Caenorhabditis elegans: one gene and its partner. The protein of the gene in region 2 purifies or fractionates together with the protein of the main gene of each other region. This does not show direct contact. Each region holds a gene or a part of one and is shown on either strand. Other genes may lie near its edges.

Region 1 (9,000 bases), on a different chromosome or scaffold from region 2:
TCAAACGATTTAATTTAGTTTTTTCTTCTGCAAGAAACTACATACAAATAGAACTTCATCTAGAAAATTTAAGGAAATAGTTTGAATCCTGACTATTACTATTATTTGCTAATTTTTTTTCTTCTTTTCATTCTTTCTACTACAGACATTTTCAAGTATTTCAGTGTAATGCAAGTTGAAGAACCTGTAATACTCTACAAACTTCGGTCAACAGATGGGCAGAGATTTCTGGCAGATAGGCGAACAATCGGAATGATAGGACGGATTGAGGACCTATTTAGAAATGCTGGATTAGACCTGATTCCTGCCGATCAACTGCAGCCAATTCAACTAGAAATCCCTGCGACAGTGATGAGGAAAGTGATCGAGTGGTGCGACCATCATAAGCACGACCCGCCCTACGACGAATCTGAACCGGAAACCAATGATATTCCTGACTGGGATGCGTCGTTTCTGATGGTGAGGCACAACATGCTCTTTGATATAATCCGAGCCGCGAGGGATTTTACTGTACCTGGTCTCTTCGCCATGTGCTGCCGTGTCGTCGGACAAAATCCTAGAGAGATTATTGACGGATTGGTGAATGATGAAGAGGAGGAGCAGCCAGTATATCCAGTGGTGGCTGCAGCGGCTTAGGAATTTCATTTCAGATGTGTGGTGTTTCGTATGGTATGGGAAAATTTAGACTATTTGTTTTCATTTCAGTAAATATTTGAAGTGAGAAAAATGTAATCATAAGATCAAAGTTGAGCCCATTTTTGAAATTTTTGTGATAATTTGGGCAACATTTTAGCAAAAGTATTCTTCGTCTTTTATATTTTACAGAAAAAATGCAAAAACCATACTAATTTTGTAAACAATGCAACTTTATTTTTCAAGTTTGAATCAAAAATTCTCTTCTCGATTCCCTACAAAAAAACTTAAATACAACCACCATACTTCTCAGCCACCACCACATTTAATGCTAATTTCCCGTGTTCAACCGTCTTGTATTCAATTTTATTTTCTCTGCTTCTTCGTTCAATTTATATTTTAAAACTTTCGCTGTAGATTTGTAATATAGAAAATTTGCCTTTGATCAACTTGACTCACAACGCCATTCACTTTTCTTCAAAAAATTTTACAATTCCAGTTTTTAATCGTTTCATTCCATCTTTAATAAATTCATAGTGTATTCTTCCAGCTCTTTTCCACAGGTCTATGATTCGCCAAATAAATAATAAAAATTACTTTAAAGATATCTCATTTATATATTTATTTTTGTGTGGTTTGAATCCACTCAATAATATTTTTGAAACAATTGCAAAACTATTTAATCAATTACCTTTAGTTCCACATCATGACCACACCACGATCTGCGCCCTTGTACAAACTGAAGTCAGAGGATGGTCAAATTTTTAATGTCGAACGAGGACCAATGAAATTTTGTGCATTTATCAATCAGAAGTTTATTGACCATGGAGTGAACGACAGAAATTGTGAACGAGCAGATCCAATTCTCGTTCCATTCCACTCATCGATTGTTCAAGCTGTAATAGAGTGGCTTTACCATTATCAGGACAACCCGCTCGCCCGACGAGACTCCAAAATTCGTTACCACGATTTTTCCGAATGGGACAAGCAGTTTTTCAACGTGGAATCGGGAGTTCTTTTTGCACTACTCAATGCTTCTCATGCGCTTGGAGTCGAAGATTTGATGAATATGGGGTGTGCAGCCGCAGCAGAATTGATTCGAGGAAAAAGCACGGAAGAAATTCGCAAGATCTATGGAATCAGGTCAGATGAAGAACAAATGGAGGAAGCGTTGGCAAATGGTGGAGAGGGAACATCTGCAATGACATTCACAACGGATTCTGATTGATGTTTAATTTCACATATTGTGAAGAAGATGTTTGAAAGAATATATTTATACACTTTGATTCAAGTTTATTTGTGAATAAATTATTTTACAAACCTCATAAATGAAAAATTGAAGTTATAAGAATGTAAAAGAATAGTTGGAAAACAAAACAAACAACTAAAGTGTCACTACTAATTAAAAAATTGCTTAAAATTAAATATCAAAGAACCATATGTAAATCAAGTTCTCGTTGTTTCAGAATATGAGGTGAGCCCCCAAATTACCGGATTTTTATTTCCGATTTTTTCTGATTTTGCATCCAATTTGGCCGAACTTGTACATTTCTGGTGTTTATTGCAAAATACTAGGTTTTAAAAGAACTAAACGTTTATAAACTTCATGACGGAATTGAATGCAGCGTTCTGATTACTAAATCTGGAAAATTTAATAGTGTGCTTTTTTTTAAAGTTTTTTTTTTCATCTGCCTTAATTTGCCCTTTTTTGTGGAATATTATTTTTCAATTTTGTTAGTTAAGTAAAGTTTCACTATGCTCAATTCTTCAGACTTTGGGGGGATAACTTTTTCGAGAGTTGTGATTAAAAGATACATAATATTCATATATCCAGTGCCGGTTGTTTCCAATAATAGTTTTTATTGTATAGCTTTTTTCATGCTAATCCATTTCATCTAAAATTTTTTATGTATGCATTAGGACATTGCATTAGGACATGATAATTTCATCAACAATTTTAATGAAAACTGAAAATTGAACATTGAACAAAAATGTCAACAATGTTATACGAAAATTGTATATAGTTTTTCAAAAACAATTTTTAAATCTCCTGTAAGTTTTCCACGCAACTTGTATATTTTATAGGCTTAATTTAAGCAACTACTTGATATAGGAGCCCTTGAACAATTGTAGAATCTGTTTTGTAAAGCTATAACCCAATCATAGTTGTTTTAAGATGAATGAACCTAAATCAATATTATCCTTAGCATTCAAACACTGTTGTTCACAAATCAGACGGAAAAAACGGGCAGCATCCACGCTATTTTCCATCCACAAAAAAACCTCAATTTACAGAGCTTTTGTGTCTTCTATGTTTAACAGTTTAACATTAAAATTGCTTGGTCTTCCAAACGTTTTGGTTTTATTTCAAAAGTGGCCATGCAATTTTTTTCATAGTCCATTGCGTGATTGACTAACTGTCTTTCAAACTCCGTCAAAAGTCCCAATTACTGTCTACAACAACCTTGAAGACAAAATTAGATAGGATCTTGATTTGGCCGAGTTTTGAAATTATCCCATTTTCTCTCCCCTAAATCGAAACAGAACAAAGTTTCACAATTCCCTTATCATTCAAACTTGTCATCTCACCGGTACAGACGGACACGTTGACAACGGTCAGGCCATTTTTTGAATGTTTAGAATTTACTTTCCGATAATTATGCATGACAGCTGGAGGAATAACAACGAGACAGTTGACCTTGCAGCTGCTGTTGTGCCGGCAAAGAAACAAGGCGGAGTCATCATGAAGAGAAAGGGGAGATAAGAAAAGGCACAATTGAGATCGGAAGAGGCATTCAGTTAGTTTCATCGTCAGGATGAACCGCTGTATTCTTTTGCTCCTCGGAGCACTTCTTCTCGTTCAAGGTCTTCATGTTCACAAGAGGCAACAGAAATTGAGAACGTAAGTAGAGGTCGTTGGAGGTTTGTTGACACCTCATTTTGATCATCGATATAGTGAAAATGTTGGTCATGTTTCTTAATATTAGGTGCCACGCAAACACCTACTTATGACATAACTGAATAGGTGTGATAATGTGCAAGATTGATTGATACTTGAATCCTCGGTAATGAGTAACCTTGTTATCTGTTTCAATATTATATAATCCCGTCAGAATCTCATTTAGACAGGATACTATAAAGAACTGAAAGTTGTCCATTGTTTTTTATTGTAGTTTCAAATCTGATTTTGACATTAAAAAAAAAACCTAATAAAATTTTTCTAACTGTGAAAGGATTATTTAAATTCATTGGGTTTTGTTGGGAACACTTCTTTCTACTTTGATCATAACACTTTTTCTTTCTATTTTGTCTCACAAATCTAAGATTTCGAGAAGGCACATCATGCCACTTTTTCTCTCGATGGGTCACAAGACCCTCCTGCTTATCCCATTCGAGTTGATCAACACTGCTCAAAAATCCGAACAACAAGAACAAAAACAAGTGACCCACTCAGCAGTTGCTCAGTTCTTATTCTGCTTGCAGCGTTTCCCTGAAGAAGCAGCCGACTCTTCGCGAGACTCTTCTTCAAGCCGGTTCATTCGAAACCTTTGCCAAGCATCGTCATGGATATAAGAAGTACTTGAAAACCAATGGAAATCATCATTTCGACAAGTACCAAGCTTTGAATGTTGAAGGAGAGATTGATGAGCTTCTCAGAAACTATATGGATGTGAGAATTGAAACAACAAAAAACATATAACTAATCAAAGTTTTAGGCTCAATACTTTGGAACCATCTCAATCGGAACTCCAGCTCAAAACTTCACAGTCATCTTTGATACTGGGTCTTCCAATTTGTGGATTCCATCGAAAAAGTGTCCATTCTACGACATTGCATGCAGTAAGTATTTCATCACCAAATCAAACTGATATCATGCTTTTTCTTGTGAACTGATGCTGACCGAAACGTGTTTGTTTTTGACAGTTTTATGGTTTGGACAAACAAATAAAACACTTTTTCATTTCAGTGCTTCATCACCGTTACGACTCAAAGAGCTCGTCAACATACAAGGAGGATGGTAGAAAGATGGCAATTCAATATGGAACTGGATCCATGAAGGGATTCATTTCAAAGGATAGCGTTTGCGTCGCAGGAGTGTGCGCTGAGGATCAGCCATTTGCTGAAGCAACCAGTGAACCAGGAATCACCTTTGTCGCTGCCAAATTCGACGGAATCCTCGGAATGGCTTACCCTGAAATTGCGGTTCTCGGTAAGAGTTTGAAGTAGACTGGGATACACCCGGATAATCGGAAGGGTTCAGCATTTTGTTTTAGTTATAAAAGCTGTGCATTGAACATTTTGGTGTGAAGTAATAATAAGTTGCATCCTGTATGCCATCAAAGGTACAATAATTACAGAAAATGACTTTTATTTTCTGAGCACTTACTAGGTTTTCTCACTTCTGTAATACTCTATTGCAGGAGTTCAACCAGTGTTCAACACTCTTTTCGAACAGAAGAAGGTCCCATCGAATCTTTTCTCATTTTGGCTCAACCGTAACCCAGACTCTGAAATTGGAGGAGAAATCACTTTTGGAGGAATTGACTCAAGAAGATATGTTGAGCCAATCACCTATGTTCCAGTCACCAGAAAGGGATACTGGCAATTCAAGATGGACAAGGTTGTTGGATCTGGAGTTCTTGGATGCTCCAATGGATGCCAAGCAATTGCTGATACCGGTACTTCTCTCATAGCCGGACCAAAGGCTCAAATCGAAGCCATCCAAAATTTCATTGGAGCTGAGCCTCTCATCAAGGGAGAGTACATGATCAGCTGCGACAAGGTTCCAACACTTCCACCAGTCTCTTTTGTGATCGGAGGACAAGAGTTCAGTCTTAAGGGAGAAGACTATGTCCTTAAGGTTTCACAGGGTGGAAAGACTATTTGCTTGTCTGGATTTATGGGAATCGATCTCCCAGAACGCGTTGGAGAGCTCTGGATTCTTGGAGATGTCTTCATTGGAAGGTGAGCCATATCTTTTCTCAAATTAAACATTGACGAACCCAATGAAAAATCAGGTACTATTCCGTCTTCGATTTTGATCAGAACCGTGTCGGATTTGCTCAAGCTAAGACCGCCGATGGCCGTCCAGTTGATCCAGCTCCACGACCATTCCGTTCTGTCTTCGACAACGAAAGTGAGGAATCCATGGAACAAGACGACGAATAATCAACACGTTATTTTTCTCACAAATCCAGGTTTTTAAAATATTTTTAATTCATTGGCTTTATAAAACACTTTATGTTTAATAAATATTTTTCTATCAACACAATTGAAGGCACATAATCGAAAAATGCGATCATTTAGCGCCACTAAGCAACAGATGGACGAAACAAAATGTCTCCACTGTTTCCGCTATTGCTCGAATCGGTGAGCCATGAGTAGAATTTTTGAGACTCTGTGTGCTTTGTGGGGTCCTAGAAAAATAAATATAGTAGACACATCAAAATTGATAGCAACACTCACCAGTCCTTTTCCTCTTTGTGTTGATTTTTTCGGACTACTATTTCCTGATGTCTCATCTGGCTCTTTCGAGTCGCCAGCTCCAGGTTGCTTTTCTGGATTTTCATCTTCATTTTCTAGAGGTGTTTTTTCCTGAGGATTTTCAATCTTCTCATCTTCTTCATCATCTTTATCTTTTTCATATGTTGAAGGTTTCGGTGGACACATAGCGTATAAACTAGCAAAACACCCCGAACCAGCCCACTTCTGACAGGTCTGAAAAGCAAAAAAACAGACTGTGCATGAAAAATCAGTTGCTTACATTCAAATGTCCATATGTGTGGCAAACAAAAAGAGCTGGTCCAAATAGGAGTGTCATGAAGGTGACCAGAATAAACAAGTAGAGTTTCTGAATTGAATTTTATTAAAGCCATAGTTTCATGCATATCTGGCTCAAAAACAATTAGCGGTTTGATAATTGCAATAAATTAAAATGACGTTTTGCATAATAGTAACAGTTTGTTCATACGTATGATCTAAAAATTCACGAATGGTTTTTATAGTTTACTTCGAAAGTGTAACTTTTTTAAAAATTTCTTTCTATTCAAAACTATAGAAGAACACAAATGTATCCGAACCTGGTGTTCTGCAGCAAATAATATCATAAGCCAAATGCTGAATATATACTGCGAAATCAAAACCAATGATTTTACTGATCTTCTCGCCCAATAGCATTGATAAATATCTTGAGATGGTAGTTGCCGGTCGCATGCAATACACGCTAGTTGCGCTTTCAGCCCAGCTAACGTTAAAATAACCCATACCGGAATCACAAACCCCCAAAGCATATCCACAGTGGAAATGGCAGAACAGCTGGAAATCGATAACGTTTATTATAAAGTCTGAAAGTGTCCCACTGTAAATATGCTGTTCCATAATATTTTTTCTCTGGAAAATATGTCGCTAACGTTGGTCCTATTGCAAGAACAATCGGGAAGATGTAGTACAAAATCCACGGAATACTTCCGTTTTTATCGGATTTTCCATGCACCATTCTGAAATTTGACACTGAAAAACGTGAATATAATTAGAATATTTCACTTACGACGATGCGAATAATGCTTCCGCAAAGAATATTGAAGCTGTCAGGCACATGAAAAAATGATTGAAAATCGCCACAAATTTGCAGATATTCTAAATATACAAACTTCTCTGAGTTTATTTTGTTAATTACTCACTGATTTATGATTGAATACAAAGTTAAGAATACACATGCAAACTGCCAGGAGAATAATTGAAAGTTCTTCGTAAAAGTGTACATATCGTTGGTGCCCTTTATTCCTGAAATGTTACAAATCTCGACTCGAAAAAATACTATCAGATAACTTACTTATGGCAAATATTTACCAATATAGTTATTAAGCACCATACTATTATCCAGCCACCACAAAAATACATAAGGTACTGAAATTAAAAAAAAAGAAATAAATGGAAGTATTCAAACACATTTCAAACCTTCACTATATCGCTCTGGTTATCTGATAAAACTGTTTCATAACATCTTTGTAAAAGGTTATCAGTGATATTAGTTGGTTCGGCAGTTGTTGTAGTGGTTGTTGTAGAGTTTGTGTCAGTAGAATTAGTGGAACTATTATTATTTGACATATTCGACCACACACCGAGCACAAAACAAGAAGAAATGAGTTGCGTAGGATGGTTGGTGTTTGCAAACTGTTTCCCCGGAAACTGGGATCGAATATTCCAATAGCTCTATTGTGACATCTTGTGATGTTTTTTTGAATAGCCTGGTTTTTGGATCTTCTAGTCTTTGCAGAGCAAGTGAGGTTTGTTTCGAAAATGACAGTGAAAAAAGTAAAGAATTCTAATAGATTTAAACATTCTTCAAAAACTTAATTAATTTACAACCTTCAAAATGTCTGTAAATTTTGTGACGGTTTTTATATAGTTTTTCAAAAAAATATATTTTGCCATTTTTCTTTTCTATTTAATTGTTTTTATTTGCAAAGCAAGTATGCTATTTTCCTCTACTATAAAATTACTGAGAAGTAGAATGAAAAATTGTTATTTTATTCATTTTCAAATAATATTAAATAATCCAAATCCACAATAAAATATGGCAAAGTTTGTGGGTTCCGTTTTCAAAACTTTGGTGAAAACTGAACATTGGCAGGTGGATGATGAAGACAAACTGGAAGAAATATGAATTACAGGGCGAGAAAGTTAATTTTTGTATCAAGTGAGTTTGGGGGGAAGGACAAAAATTATCTATATTACAAACGTGAATCCAGGTAATTTGAAAAGACATGATGCCATTTGAAAGAAACCACAGAAGGAAGGAGAAGTGGGAGGATGGGGGGAAAGGGAATAAAATTGGAGAAAAAAATTACAAAAGACTTTTGGGAGTTAATTTTAGAGGAAATTTAGGTATAATAATTTGAAAGTTATGAACATTCATAAAGACAACCGCGTCATTAAAGTTTTGATAAATTGATAATAGAAAATTTGGAAATTGGTAAATAGAATTTACAAAAAAAAAATTAGAAAACAATTGAATTAAATGTGAAATTGACAAAAAGCTCGAGGTGAAAATGACAATGGATCGATAAAGTTTTGAGCAACTTTTTGAAGTATTCAATTGAGAAATTTAAAAATTGATTCAATACAAAAGTTTAAAAGTTTTGGCACTCTTCTAAAACCCTCCAAAATTGTTTAGTTTTGGTTTTCAAGAGAATTATGATGAGGAGGAAAAGATAAGTGAATAGTTTCCATTGATCTGGATGTTTAAATGCAGTTGATGATTCGATATTTTCTAGCAACAGAAAATTGAGAATATCAGCTAAAGACGACTACACCCATTGACGACAATTCTATGATTTTCGAAAGTGAGATTTCATGATCAAAATT
Region 2 (11,569 bases):
ATTGCCTAGGTTTCAATATTTTTATATTGAGCTCACCGAGCACCTGGGTGCTCCACGAGCTTGAAAGCTGAAATTTTAAAACTAAAATAATCTAAACAATGTGGATGTAAAGTTTTAAAATTTTTGGTTAATTGAGCACGAATATTTACAATTTGGAGTGTTCTGTGCTAACGGAGCAACTCTAAATGCTCACAGAGCCCTACATCAAAACTGTGGGAATGTAGGCATGATGGGTGTTAAATTGAAGCTCTCAGCCAGCTGAGCTGAATCTAGCTAAATTGAGCCCACATTTAATTTCGGTGATCCGGGAGCCAGAACTAGAAACTTTTTTCATATTAATCAGATTTAAAATTGTTTGTGCCGTGCACAATTTTTTTTTCTTATTTCCCTCTAGTTGTATGACGTCATTGAACTTTTGATATAAAGCTTTTTATTATAAAATTTGATTTCAGCTTCTTGGGAGCTTGAGAGCCATATTTTCTAGTTTTAGAGATGTTTAAGGTTGAGCTAACTTTGTGCTCCGCGAGCTGGGAGCTTAGAAGCTGAAAATTTGTAAATTTAGATCAAATTCGAAAACATTTTTGTGCAAGCTCACGAAGCATCTTTTTTTTTGACGTCACGTAAACCACTATGATTACCAGATTGTGGAGCTGAATTCAGCGCCTGGTGCTCCGCGATCCCATAAAAACTTTATTTTAAAAGTTTTTGGTTTGTAGGAATGCTCCGCGAGCTTTGAACTTTTGCTTAAAAACTCTAATTTTAATAATTTTTATTTTCTTTCAGTTCAGCCCCTTTACAATCAACTTTCTACAAAAACCCCATACTTATTCAGAAACACAATGGAATTACCCATAATATCTCAGCAACCCTTAATACCAGAACAACCCCCGACGACAGTTCTACAACTGCTCACAAGTTTGAGCAAAGTCGAGGTGCATGAAATCATGCAACCTGTGGAGATTTTGGCGGATTGGGGGACCGCAAAACGATACCAGATTAGAAATGAAAATGGAGAACAGTGTTATGATGTGCTCGAAGAGTCCGATGGTAGTGAAAGAAGGTTCTGTGGTTCACAACGTGGATTTGTAATGCATATTAACAATGCATTGAAAGCGGTAGGCAGCTCTTAGAGCATTTGTAGTAGCTGAAATTTGGTCTAATGCTCCGCGAGCTCTGGCAGAAAGGTGCCGAAATTTCTTTCAAAACTGTTTTAAAACTACATAGATTTCTGATCATTTTTGTCTTGCAAAATCCCCGTGATGAATATTGGGATTTCTTGACTAATCACTTAAGAAACTAGGAGAAAAATATCAAAAATTCAGTTTTCCAGGAAGTTCTGACCGTCAAGCGTGAGTTCCGATGTTGTGGAGGCTGCTGCTATGGCTGTTGTGCATGTGTCGGTTGCTGTCAGCACGATTGCGTCGTTGAATCCCCAACTCTGGGGACGCTAGGTACTATTCGCCAGCGGTTTGGATTTCTGACTACTAGTTTTGACGTTATGGATGGAAAAGGGGCCCGAATCTTCCGAATTGAGATTCCATTCTGGAAGTTGATGGGATTTCAGGATAAGGAGTTTTCGGTAAGTCAACACAAGCCCATAAAGTGTCGGCTGCTCGAATCTTTGGCTAGTTTCGTGCAGCCGACACATTTCGGGTTTAGCATGAGACGTCGGTTGTTACTCACCGGGCCAAACCCGTAGAGCGTCGGGTGCAACTTGCAATTTCACAATAAAATGTCCGCTGCTTCCCTTAGATTCCTCAATAATTCCAGATCAAAAACATCGATGATGGCACAGAAATTGGCAAGATCATCAGAAAGACGGCACGTTTGGCTGGCGAACCCATCGTTTTCAAAAAATATACAATAAATTGTAGGGTTTTTTCATTAATATCTAAAAAACCATCAGTTTGCAGTTCCTACCGACCTGGATGTGAAGCTCAAAGCAGTACTGATGGGAGCAACATTTTTGATTGTGAATGTAAGTTTAGTTACTACCAAAAGTTTAAAGCAATTTAATTTTAGAACTTTCTGGAGTTCCAACAAATCCACGATGTCGACGAATCCACGATCGGTTGTGGAGGTTTGTGTTTCCTGATGTTTAAAACAAGCATGCAACTAATTTTATTTTAATTTTAGGTTCATCGTATGTCCGGTGCTGCCCCATTTGTTAGTCACAAACATTCTGCCTGCAATTGTTTTTTTTTCTATTTTTTTTACTTAAAAATGTTGAAATTCAAACTTTTTATTATTTTGTTTTTTTATTTTAGTAAAATCAATAAAAAAATGTTCTAGCACCATCGGAAATAGGTTTTAAAATTCTGACGAAAAAAAATCGTTGTCAAACGGGCGGGAGTGGGGAAAAGTGAAAATTGGGGGGAAGAAAATTCTAGAAAAAAATCAATATTAGCGGAATGTACAGAAACCGAAATTGTACCGTAACAAGAGACGAGAAAAGTTCACTATTTTTTTCGGAAAAATTCAATCAATAATCTAAATTAAAGATATGACAGGAGATCGATCGATTTTGAGACTTTTTGAATTGGAAATCAGATTTTTTAAAAACAAATGAAGTTAATATAAAATCTGGGAAAATGTTAATATGACAAGAGTGATGACGTGGAAAATTGAATATTGGGTGCCGGATGACGTGGCTTCCATCTGGACACTTCTGACGGCTAACGGTGAAGCATGTTGGCCTCCAAAGTCGCCGGTTTCCCGATCAGTTCCGTAGAGCACGAGTTCCCATTTTACAAGCTCGGCGTCTGCAAAAATCGATAATCACTCCTAAAAATCAATGAATTTTCAGAAATCAATACTCACCATCCCATCCATCATTATCGATTTCCAGAATCCACAGCCCGGCGGCCTGCTCCCCCCAGTTATGGGTCGTCATGAAAGCCCAATCTGTGAAGCCACTTCGTGATGTGTCGCGTGCTCTTTTTGTGAGCAACGTGGATTTTGTGCCTGAACGTTTTAAATTTTTTTAAATTTGAAATTTGCAGCTGAGCATTTTCGCTTTTTGAGCCAATGTTCTAGCTTTTCGTCAAAAAAAGTTATGAAGGTTTAAAAAAAGTCAGTTTTACATCCTAAATTTATTTTCAAAATCATTACCTGACGGAGAAGTCAAGTAGATTTGCAAATCTCCACGTTTTGGAGCTTTCAATGTGACGATTGCCTGCACGTGCTCCACATAAGACACCTTATTCTCATCGGCTCCACCATAACATCCGTCGGAGTAAAGTTGGAGTTGAAGGCGGTTTCCGTTGGGGATATTTCTAAAAACTTGGAGTTTTTTGGAATTTCTAAACATTTTCTCAATTTCTAGAATTTTCGGAAACTTCTGAAAACGCGTAGAAGTCCCTGGAAATTTCTGGAAAATTGTGTGAACTTCTGAAACTTCTAGAAACTTCTGGAAAAATCGAGAAATTTTTGGAAATTTCTGTAGACTTCTATAAACTTCTGGAAGATTTGAGAAACGTCTAGAAACTTGTCAAAAATTTTTGAAGATCTCAGGGATTTTCAGTAAATTTTTAAAATTTTCTCGAGTATTAGGAAACATTTTTAAATGTTTGACAAACTTCTAGAAAGTCTAAAAAAATTTTAATAGCTCCTGAAAACGGAAAATTCTTAAAAATTCTGAAAACAGCAGGAAAGTTTTAGAAATGTTTAGAAACTTTTGAAAACTTTTGCAAAATTCGAGAAACTTCTGGAATTTTTCATAAATTTGGGTGATAACTACTCACTTATATCTCGACGGATAAAACTGCCTGCACCGATGCTGCTCATCAACCTTCTTCCAGATCTTTGCCAGCTTCACCATGGCTCCAGCATCCATCAACCCATAACCAAAACTATGGGACACATTTCTCCCAACCCCATTTGTAGTCCAATCTCCTGCTCTTAAATTGATAGGCTTTGCAGTTCGTATCACAATATGTTGAAGGTCTCGCCACGTGAGATTCGGGTTGGCTTCTAGAGCAAGAGCAACAATTCCAGCAGCCAACGGAGCACTTGCACTGGTCCCCGTGTGCATATTTGTGCACGCGTGGTGTAGATCTGTGGTTAGGATCATCTTTTCGCCAGTTGCTCCACTAGAGTAGGTAGTCGCAAGGGTACTACTGCAAGCTTCAGAGTACCATGGGATATTTCCATTTTCAGTGGCACTTGATATGGATAACGTGTATATGGAGTTGGTGTACCCATCACAATTACACGAATCCGCGTCTTTTCCTCCATTTCCTGATGCCCATACAAAAATTGAGCCTTTTCCTTTTCGACCCATGGTGATTCCTTTTTCGAAGGCACTTCTTGTGAGTTTTGCGGGGCCGTCGACGGTTCGGCCATCGTCATCCGGTCCCCAGGATGCGCTGGAAGAGTTTTTTTTGTTTTTCGAAAAAATAACCAACAGAAAGAGAAAGAACTGACGATTACAATAGTTTTTAAATCTTTCAAAACATTAATTTTGAGTTATAGGCGTTTGAAGTTGGTGGCCTGACTTTGGATTATTTTTGATTTTCTAGGCCAGAACAAATTGAAAAGAATAAAAATATGCAGGTGGCCGAACTTTGGTTGGCCGAACTTTGGTTTTCTAGGCCATCAGCAATCAATTAAACTGGGAAGATGCGTAATCCAGGTCTAACTCTAACCCGTTGAAGATTTCGAAAAATATTGAATTTGAACAAAGTTATGAGCTTTTAAAGTTGGTGGCCTAGAAATTCAAAGTTAGGACACCAATTTCAAATGCCCATAACTCGATTAATACTGAATATTTTTGAATAATTTAAAAACTGTTCGCTCCGCTTTGGAATTCTGCATCTTTTTGACTTATTTAATTTTTGGTGGCCTAGAAATCCAAAGTTAGGCCACCAACTTCCAAGGTCCATAACTTGGCTCAAAATCAATATTTTTGATTGAAGCTGATGAAATTGTAAATTTTGGCTCAATTCTGAAATAATGCCCATACCTATAAATATCAATGTAATCTGCATTATGCCCAACGGAAGCGGCTTCGACGGCATCTGTGACGTCACCATCGAGCATTCTGATTCCACCGATATTTGCATTGTAAGCTATTCCAACAATACATAAACTATTATTAAAAATCGCCGCAACTTCTCCAGCACACCGAGTTCCATGTCGATTTTCATCCGAAAATTCGTATCTTGGCATCGGGTCATTATCTCGATCGTTGACGTCATATGAAGCACGTTCATCGTAATTCGGAGAAATATCTGGGTGAGTTCTTTCCAAACCGTCGTCAAGAATCGTGACGACGACTCCTTTTCCTGTGTACCCGAGGTCCCAGGCTTCTTTTACATTGTGATCCATACGGGTTGTTGAGTCAGAATGATGTTCACCTCGATTCTGAAAAGTTTAGAGAGTTAATTTAAAAATGGTTTTTGAAAAATTGAAAAATATTCAATCACCGCCGAGTTATGGGCATTTAAAGTTGGTGGCCGAACTTTGAATTTCTAGGCCATGAGAAGTTAGATATGCGAAAAAGATGCAGAATTTTAAGGTAAATTCTGTACATTTTGAATCATTGAAAAATATTGATTTTTCGTCGAGTTATGGGCATTTGAAGTTGATGGCCGAACTTTGGATTCCTAGGCCACCAACTTTATAACCTCGTAACTCGGCTAAAAATTAATATTTTCCGATGATTCAAAATGTACAAAACTGATCGGAAAGTTCTGCATCTTTTTTGTTTATCTAACTTTTGATGGCCTAGAAAATCAAAGTTCGGCCACCAAATTCAAATTCCCATAACTCGGCGGAAAATCAATATTTTTCGATGATTCAAAATGCATAGAATTGATCTGAAAGTTTTGTATTTTTTGACTTATTTAATTTTTGGTGACCTAGAAACCCAAAGTTAGGCCACCAACTTTAAGTGCTCATAACTCGGCGGAAAATCAATATTTTTCGATGATTCAAAATTTTTATAAGTGATCTGAAAATTCTGCATCTTTTTCACTTATTTAATTTTAAGTGGCCTAGAATATCAAAGTTCGGCCACCAACTATAAATGCTCATAACTCGGCGGAAAATCAATTTTTTGGAATAATTTAAAAACCATTGAATTTCTAATTTTTTGCTCAATAATTCAATAACCTACCAAATACCACATATCAGTCCACAACGGATCGTTCGGATCCGGATGTTTTCTATTTCTCGACTTGCTAATTTGAGTACCATCATCATCCTCTTCAAAAATATCATTATCATCAGTATGTCGTCGAATCCTTCGATATCCTCTTTTCACTCTCCGCTTCGCCACTTGCTGTTCCATCCACATGACATCTTCCTCGTGTTGAAGCTGATTTGCTGATAAGCTTCGCGTTTTTCGCGACGATCGACTCTTTTTTCGATCGTCACGGAATAAATAGTACTCGTCACCCGGAATTATCTGGAAAATAATTTTTCTTGAATTTTAAAAATATATAGATTTTCCGTAAAAATATAAAATTTCGAAAAAAAATTTTGTTTGGATTTATTTCAAAATTTTCAAAATCTTCTAACTTCCCTCAAAATCAATATTTTTTGACAATCTGAAAAGCGAAATTTTTGAAATTTAATAATATTCAATACTGTTAACATAAACTTTTCTAAAACAGCAAAAGTTTTTGAGTACTCTAGTTTTCGTGGCGGGACCTTGATTTTTTTTTGAAAATTTTCTAACTTTGCTTAAAATAATTATTTTTTGACGATCTAAAATGTTTTTATGTTTCTTTTAATTTGTTAAAAATTTATAACAATAACTGTTTTGAAAATCCGTGGGTCGGTTACTGTAGCTTTGCAGGCGAGACCCAATTTTGCTCAAAATTAATATTTTTCCACGATTTAAAATCAAAATTATGGAAATTTTTTTGAAATATTCAAAAATAAAACTAACCGGACCCAAATTCGTGTACCCGTATTTGTTCGCCAGTCGGTTCGCTTCTTCAACCTTCCCACCCGCTATCCGCACCGCCCACTCATTTGTGTACGTCCGCCTCATCGGTGACGCAATCGATGATATTGTCGTCGTGACGTCATCTTCGAACTCTTCATCAATGTGGGCGGAGCCTAAAGAGGCGGAGCCTAATAAAAGGAAAAGTGCAAGTGTGACGAGTTGAAGCCGAACCGAACAATGACGGTACCAACTGATATTTGACATTTTTGCAAATTTTCTTTTTGGAATATATTCCCCCGTCGCCGATGTTTATCGCATGATTTTCTTGAATATTTTGATGAATTTTCAGATGATTCGGGGGTTTCTGAAAATATTGAAAAGTTGGCAGAAGTAGAAAAAATAAAAAAAATAAAAAGGAGAAAAAGGAGAGGAAAAAGAAAGGAAAAAGGAGGGAAAAAGAATGAAGAGAAAAAAGAGGAAAGAGAAAGAAAAAAAGAGAAACTAGGGAGGAAAATAGGAAAAAAGGAGGAAAAAAAGAAGATAGGAAAATGAGCAAGAGTAGGAACAACAGAAAAAAAAAGAAGGAAAAAGAAAGAAAAAGGAGAAAATAAAGAAAAAAGAGGAGGAAAAGAAGGAAAAAAAGAAGAAAAAGATGATAAAAAAAAGAAAAAAAGAAGAGGTCAGGGAAGAAAAAATAGTAAAAATGGAGGAAGAGAAGGGAAAAAGAAACAAGAGGCAAAAACAGGAAAGAAAAGGAAAAAAGTGAGAGAAACCGGGTAGGAAAAAGGAGGAAAATGAGGAAGATAAGAAAAAAAAGAAAGAAAAACAGAAAGAAAGATATAAAAAAGTATCGGAAAAAGAAAGGAATAAAGAGGAAAAAAGGAGGAAAAGGAAAGGCCAGGGAAGAAAAAATATTAAAAAAGGAGGAAGAGAAGGAAAAAAGAAAAACAGAAAAAAATAGAAAAAAGAGAGAAACAGGAAAAGTTAGGGAAAAACTGACTAAAATTTGTAATAAATGGGAAAATTGTTGTATGACAAATTACCTAAAATTGTCTGAAAATTGAACCGAATTGAAAAAATAGACATTTTTTTTACTGAAAAAAATTCAAAAGCCCAACAAAAACCAAAACCAATAATAATTTTTTCCCCCAAAAAATGAATAATTCCTTCCAACTGAATAAATAACAAATTCCGACTGATTCCAGTGAGTCACTGGGAATCTGAAAATAAAACGGAAATATGCACATATAGAGACAGAGAGTTAGACGGCTAAAGTGTGTGCTCTCGGAGCCCAGAGGCAGAGGGAGCTAGGCTTCAAATTTATTCAGTTATCGCGTGTGAGCCAAGCGCCAAAATGATGGACATTGAAAAGAAAACGGGAAAATTTAAAAAAAATTAGTAGGACTTATCTAGTGATGCGGTTGAAACAAAATTACAAAAAAAAATTTATTGAAAATTTCGAAAAAAAATAAATTTTGTAATATTTTTTTTCTGTAAAATTTAAATTTTTTCAGAAATTTGAATTTTAAAGCACCAAAAAAACATTGAAAAAAGTACAGTTTTTATTCAAAATTATCCTAAAATCTTTGCGCTTTCAAAAGAGCACCAAAAAGAGCAAGAGCAGCTGCTGCTCCGGTCCATTGGGAATTAAAGTCTGAATGATGCTCCGATTTTAAAGCGGTTTTAGTGGGCTCACAGCACAACCCATGAAAGATTTGCGCAGCTGGAAAAAAAGTAAAAATTGTACTTTTAAAAAAACTTTGGTACAAAAAAATCAAACCTCATATCTGTCACACAAAGTAATAATTAAGGAAAACTGCTGACATCTAGAGAGAAATACGCAGAGAGATAAGATAAGAATGGAAAAAGTGCTTGTTTGTGCACACTATGTGACCCGTGTCAGCTGATTATTATCGGATTACATAGGGTAATGTTCAGGTCTGAATATTGTTGACCAATTGGAAGAAAAAATAGAATATTCTAGAAATATTTATGGATCAGACGATTCTAGAATATTTTAGAGACTTCCTAGAATAGCCAAAACGTTTTTTAATGTTTCTAAATTTTTTTAAAAATTTTCTTGAACTTTCTACAATTTTTTAGAGTTGCCTAGAACTTTTTGGAATGTTCTAAATTTGCCTATAATTTTTCTAGAACTTTCTGGAAATCTTAAGAAATTTATTTAACTTTCTAGACTTTTTTGGAACTTTTAAAAAATTTTCTGAATTTTTCTACAACTTTCAAGAAATTTTGGAGCTTTCTATAATTTTAGAATTTTCCAAAAATTGTATAGAACCTTTTAGAACATTCTCAGAATTTTTAGAATATTTAAAAGAATTTTCAAGAGTTTTCTAAAATTTTCTAGAACCTTCTAAAACGTTTTGAAACTTTTAAAAACTTTCAAGATTTTTCTAGAGTTATCCAAAAATTGTTAAAAATTTTCTAGAATTTTCTGGAAACCTTTAGAAGTTTTCTATACATTTTTCAAAAATTCTAAAATTTTTCTAGAATTTTTTAAAATTTGTTAGAACCTTCTAGAACATTTTTAAAGTTATCCACATCTGTTCAGAACTTTCAAAAAAATTATAAAACATCTTAGTACCCCTAGAATTTTGTTGAAAATTCTCTACGACTTTCTAGAATTTTCTGGACCTTTCTAAACCTTTCCAAAATTTAGAAAATTTTCAAAACTTCCAAAAAAGAAGAAAAAAAGCAAACTCCGTTATAAAAGATCAACACTTTCAATTTCGACCTCGTCCAAAATGTCTAAGGAGCCTTTGAGTGGAAAGTGAGAGCGTATGTTTGTGTTGTTCAGGTATAACACACAAAAATGTACATAAACGGAGAGAGAGAGAAAGCTTTGATGGTTTCGGGGGTGAGAGAGCAAATACGGATGACCCCGAAAATGGAAACCCCCAAGCGGGGGAAGATGACACCTTGTTTGGGCTGCTGGATGAAAGGATATCACCTGTCAGAAGCCACAATACACAGAGAGCATCAATAATGAAAAATATGTCAATTTTTTTTTGATTTCACATTTGAAGAGAGAGCGCAGAGAAAGAGAGTACTCTCGTTGTCTGCGCCCTCTCAACTTTCCTAAAACTTGAATTTTTGAGAGTTGTGAGTTTTGAGTTTAACTCGATATTTACAGAAGAGCTTTTTTTAAACTGATATTTCGTTCTCCTCTAAAGCATACAAAACTGACACCTCAAACTCCCTAAGGCTCAAAAAAGGGTTGTGTCCCATAATTCAATACACGCAGGAAAAATGTATCTTTTTTCATTGGAACTATGTATGAGCAAAAAAGCAGAAAAACCGAAAGAAGAGAGAGAGAGAGAGATAGGAATGTGACAACTTCCGGTTTTTAGTTTGAAATCGATCCCCCTTTTTGCATGATACTTTTGAAATTTGTTCCGGCGGAAGGCTCGGAAAATCAAAAAGTGATTTTTAGGCTTTATGCTTTTTTTTAGGCTTCATGCTAATTTTTAGGATAATAGACGCAGACGGTGCTCCCTCCAATGTTTAAAAGTGTATAACTCCGTTCACAGTTAAGATATTAAAAAGTTATCAACTATCAAAATATTCAGCATAAAATTTGCAATATTTTGTTAATTGGGAAATTTTTTATAGCTCAACTCTCCAAGGAGATATATCCGTTAAAAAAATATAAAAGGCGCACACAACGTGAGTCAAAGTTTGAACGTGTATAACTCCGCGCAAGGTTAAGATATTAAAAAGTTGCCAACTAGCAAAATATTCAGCATAAAATTTGCTACGTTTTTCCAGTTAAAAGTATTTTTCTAGCTCAACTCTCCGCGGAGCAAAACCTAGTCAAAACCTACTCAGAAAATTGGAAGAATACTTTGCGGAGCGAAATTTCGTCTGGTCAAAACCAGCAAAAAAGCGCCAAAAAAAAGCAAAGGAAAGAGTGAAAAACTGTTCATCAATCCATCATAAGAGTGGCCGAAACGTCTTCAAAGGGAAAAAACACCGCTGGAATCGGAATGGCCTTGGTCACTAGCCAATTCATTCATCAAAATTCGGGAGAAGGGAGGGTTCGGGAGTACGAAGAAAATTTGGGATTTATTTTTTATTTTTGAGTTTTTCAAAGCCTTGCCTGCCTGCCTACGCCTCCTTGAAATTTAAGGATAAATCGCATAAAATAGGAAAGCAGATTGATGGTAGGAAGGTAGGCACAAGGTTGGATAAGTTAAGAAGGCACGTAGGTAGGTAGGAAAAAAGTAGGCATAGATCACCGAGAGAGTAGGTAGGCATAGGCATAGATGCAAAGGCAGGCAGTGGTAGGCAAAGGTATAAATAGACAAGGTAGGCATAGGTACTTTTTGAAAAAATAGGCATTTAAGGACTAAAAACTCGAATTTTAGATTAAGCTTCAGTAGTTTGGAGCATTTTCCGCAAAGTGGAGAGTTGAAAGAAAATGCTCCGTTCGAGATTAATTGGATTTTCCACATCAATTTCTACACCTCGCTATGTTCCACTTAATGGAAATTTCAGGGAAATGCGGGAAAATCTAATTTTCAGTCACAGGAGAATTGGAGAATTTTATGAAAATTGGACCAGCAAATTGAGCAAAAATTGCTCAATCATACCTTAAAATAATGAAAAAATCTGATTGAAGCAACAAATTTTAGTCATACTTTCATCCAAAAAACT

Evidence for each region.
Region 1: the proteins of kpc-1 (region 2) and asp-4 fractionate together in Caenorhabditis elegans (co-fractionation; one large-scale study listed by BioGRID). This does not show direct contact.

What each region holds. Positions count from the first base shown.
Region 1 is NC_003284.9:13,215,877-13,224,876, reverse strand, and holds asp-4 (Aspartic protease 4), read left to right. Parts: upstream 1-3,414; 5' UTR 3,415-3,449; coding exon 3,450-3,535; intron 3,536-4,116; coding exon 4,117-4,303; intron 4,304-4,349; coding exon 4,350-4,473; intron 4,474-4,600; coding exon 4,601-4,843; intron 4,844-5,054; coding exon 5,055-5,598; intron 5,599-5,651; coding exon 5,652-5,802; 3' UTR 5,803-5,892; downstream 5,893-9,000. Other genes in the region: skr-19 (Skp1-related protein), read left to right, coding at 169-636; skr-20 (Skp1-related protein), read left to right, coding at 1,340-1,861; R12H7.4 (G_PROTEIN_RECEP_F2_4 domain-containing protein), read right to left, coding at 5,946-6,050, 6,100-6,351, 6,398-6,484, 6,714-6,948, 6,993-7,130, 7,181-7,269, 7,314-7,416, 7,466-7,539 and 1 more. UniProt on the Caenorhabditis elegans protein: Aspartic protease, which is part of the necrosis cell death pathway. Involved in neuronal cell degeneration. Involved in heat stress response.
Region 2 is NC_003279.8:11,671,635-11,683,203, reverse strand, and holds kpc-1 (Furin-like protease kpc-1), read right to left. Parts: upstream 7,260-11,569; 5' UTR 7,160-7,259; coding exon 6,896-7,159; intron 6,410-6,895; coding exon 6,119-6,409; intron 5,365-6,118; coding exon 4,964-5,364; intron 4,744-4,963; exon of another isoform or gene 4,654-4,743; intron 4,368-4,653; coding exon 3,744-4,367; exon of another isoform or gene 3,276-3,743; coding exon 3,112-3,275; intron 2,965-3,111; coding exon 2,821-2,964; intron 2,763-2,820; coding exon 2,572-2,762; 3' UTR 2,229-2,571; downstream 1-2,228. Other genes in the region: scrm-4 (Phospholipid scramblase), read left to right, coding at 840-1,115, 1,331-1,579, 1,771-1,870, 1,914-1,978, 2,023-2,080, 2,137-2,171. UniProt on the Caenorhabditis elegans protein: Furin-like protease which cleaves proproteins at the RX(K/R)R consensus motif. During neuronal development, regulates the formation and extension of dendrite branches and cellular positioning of various type of neurons.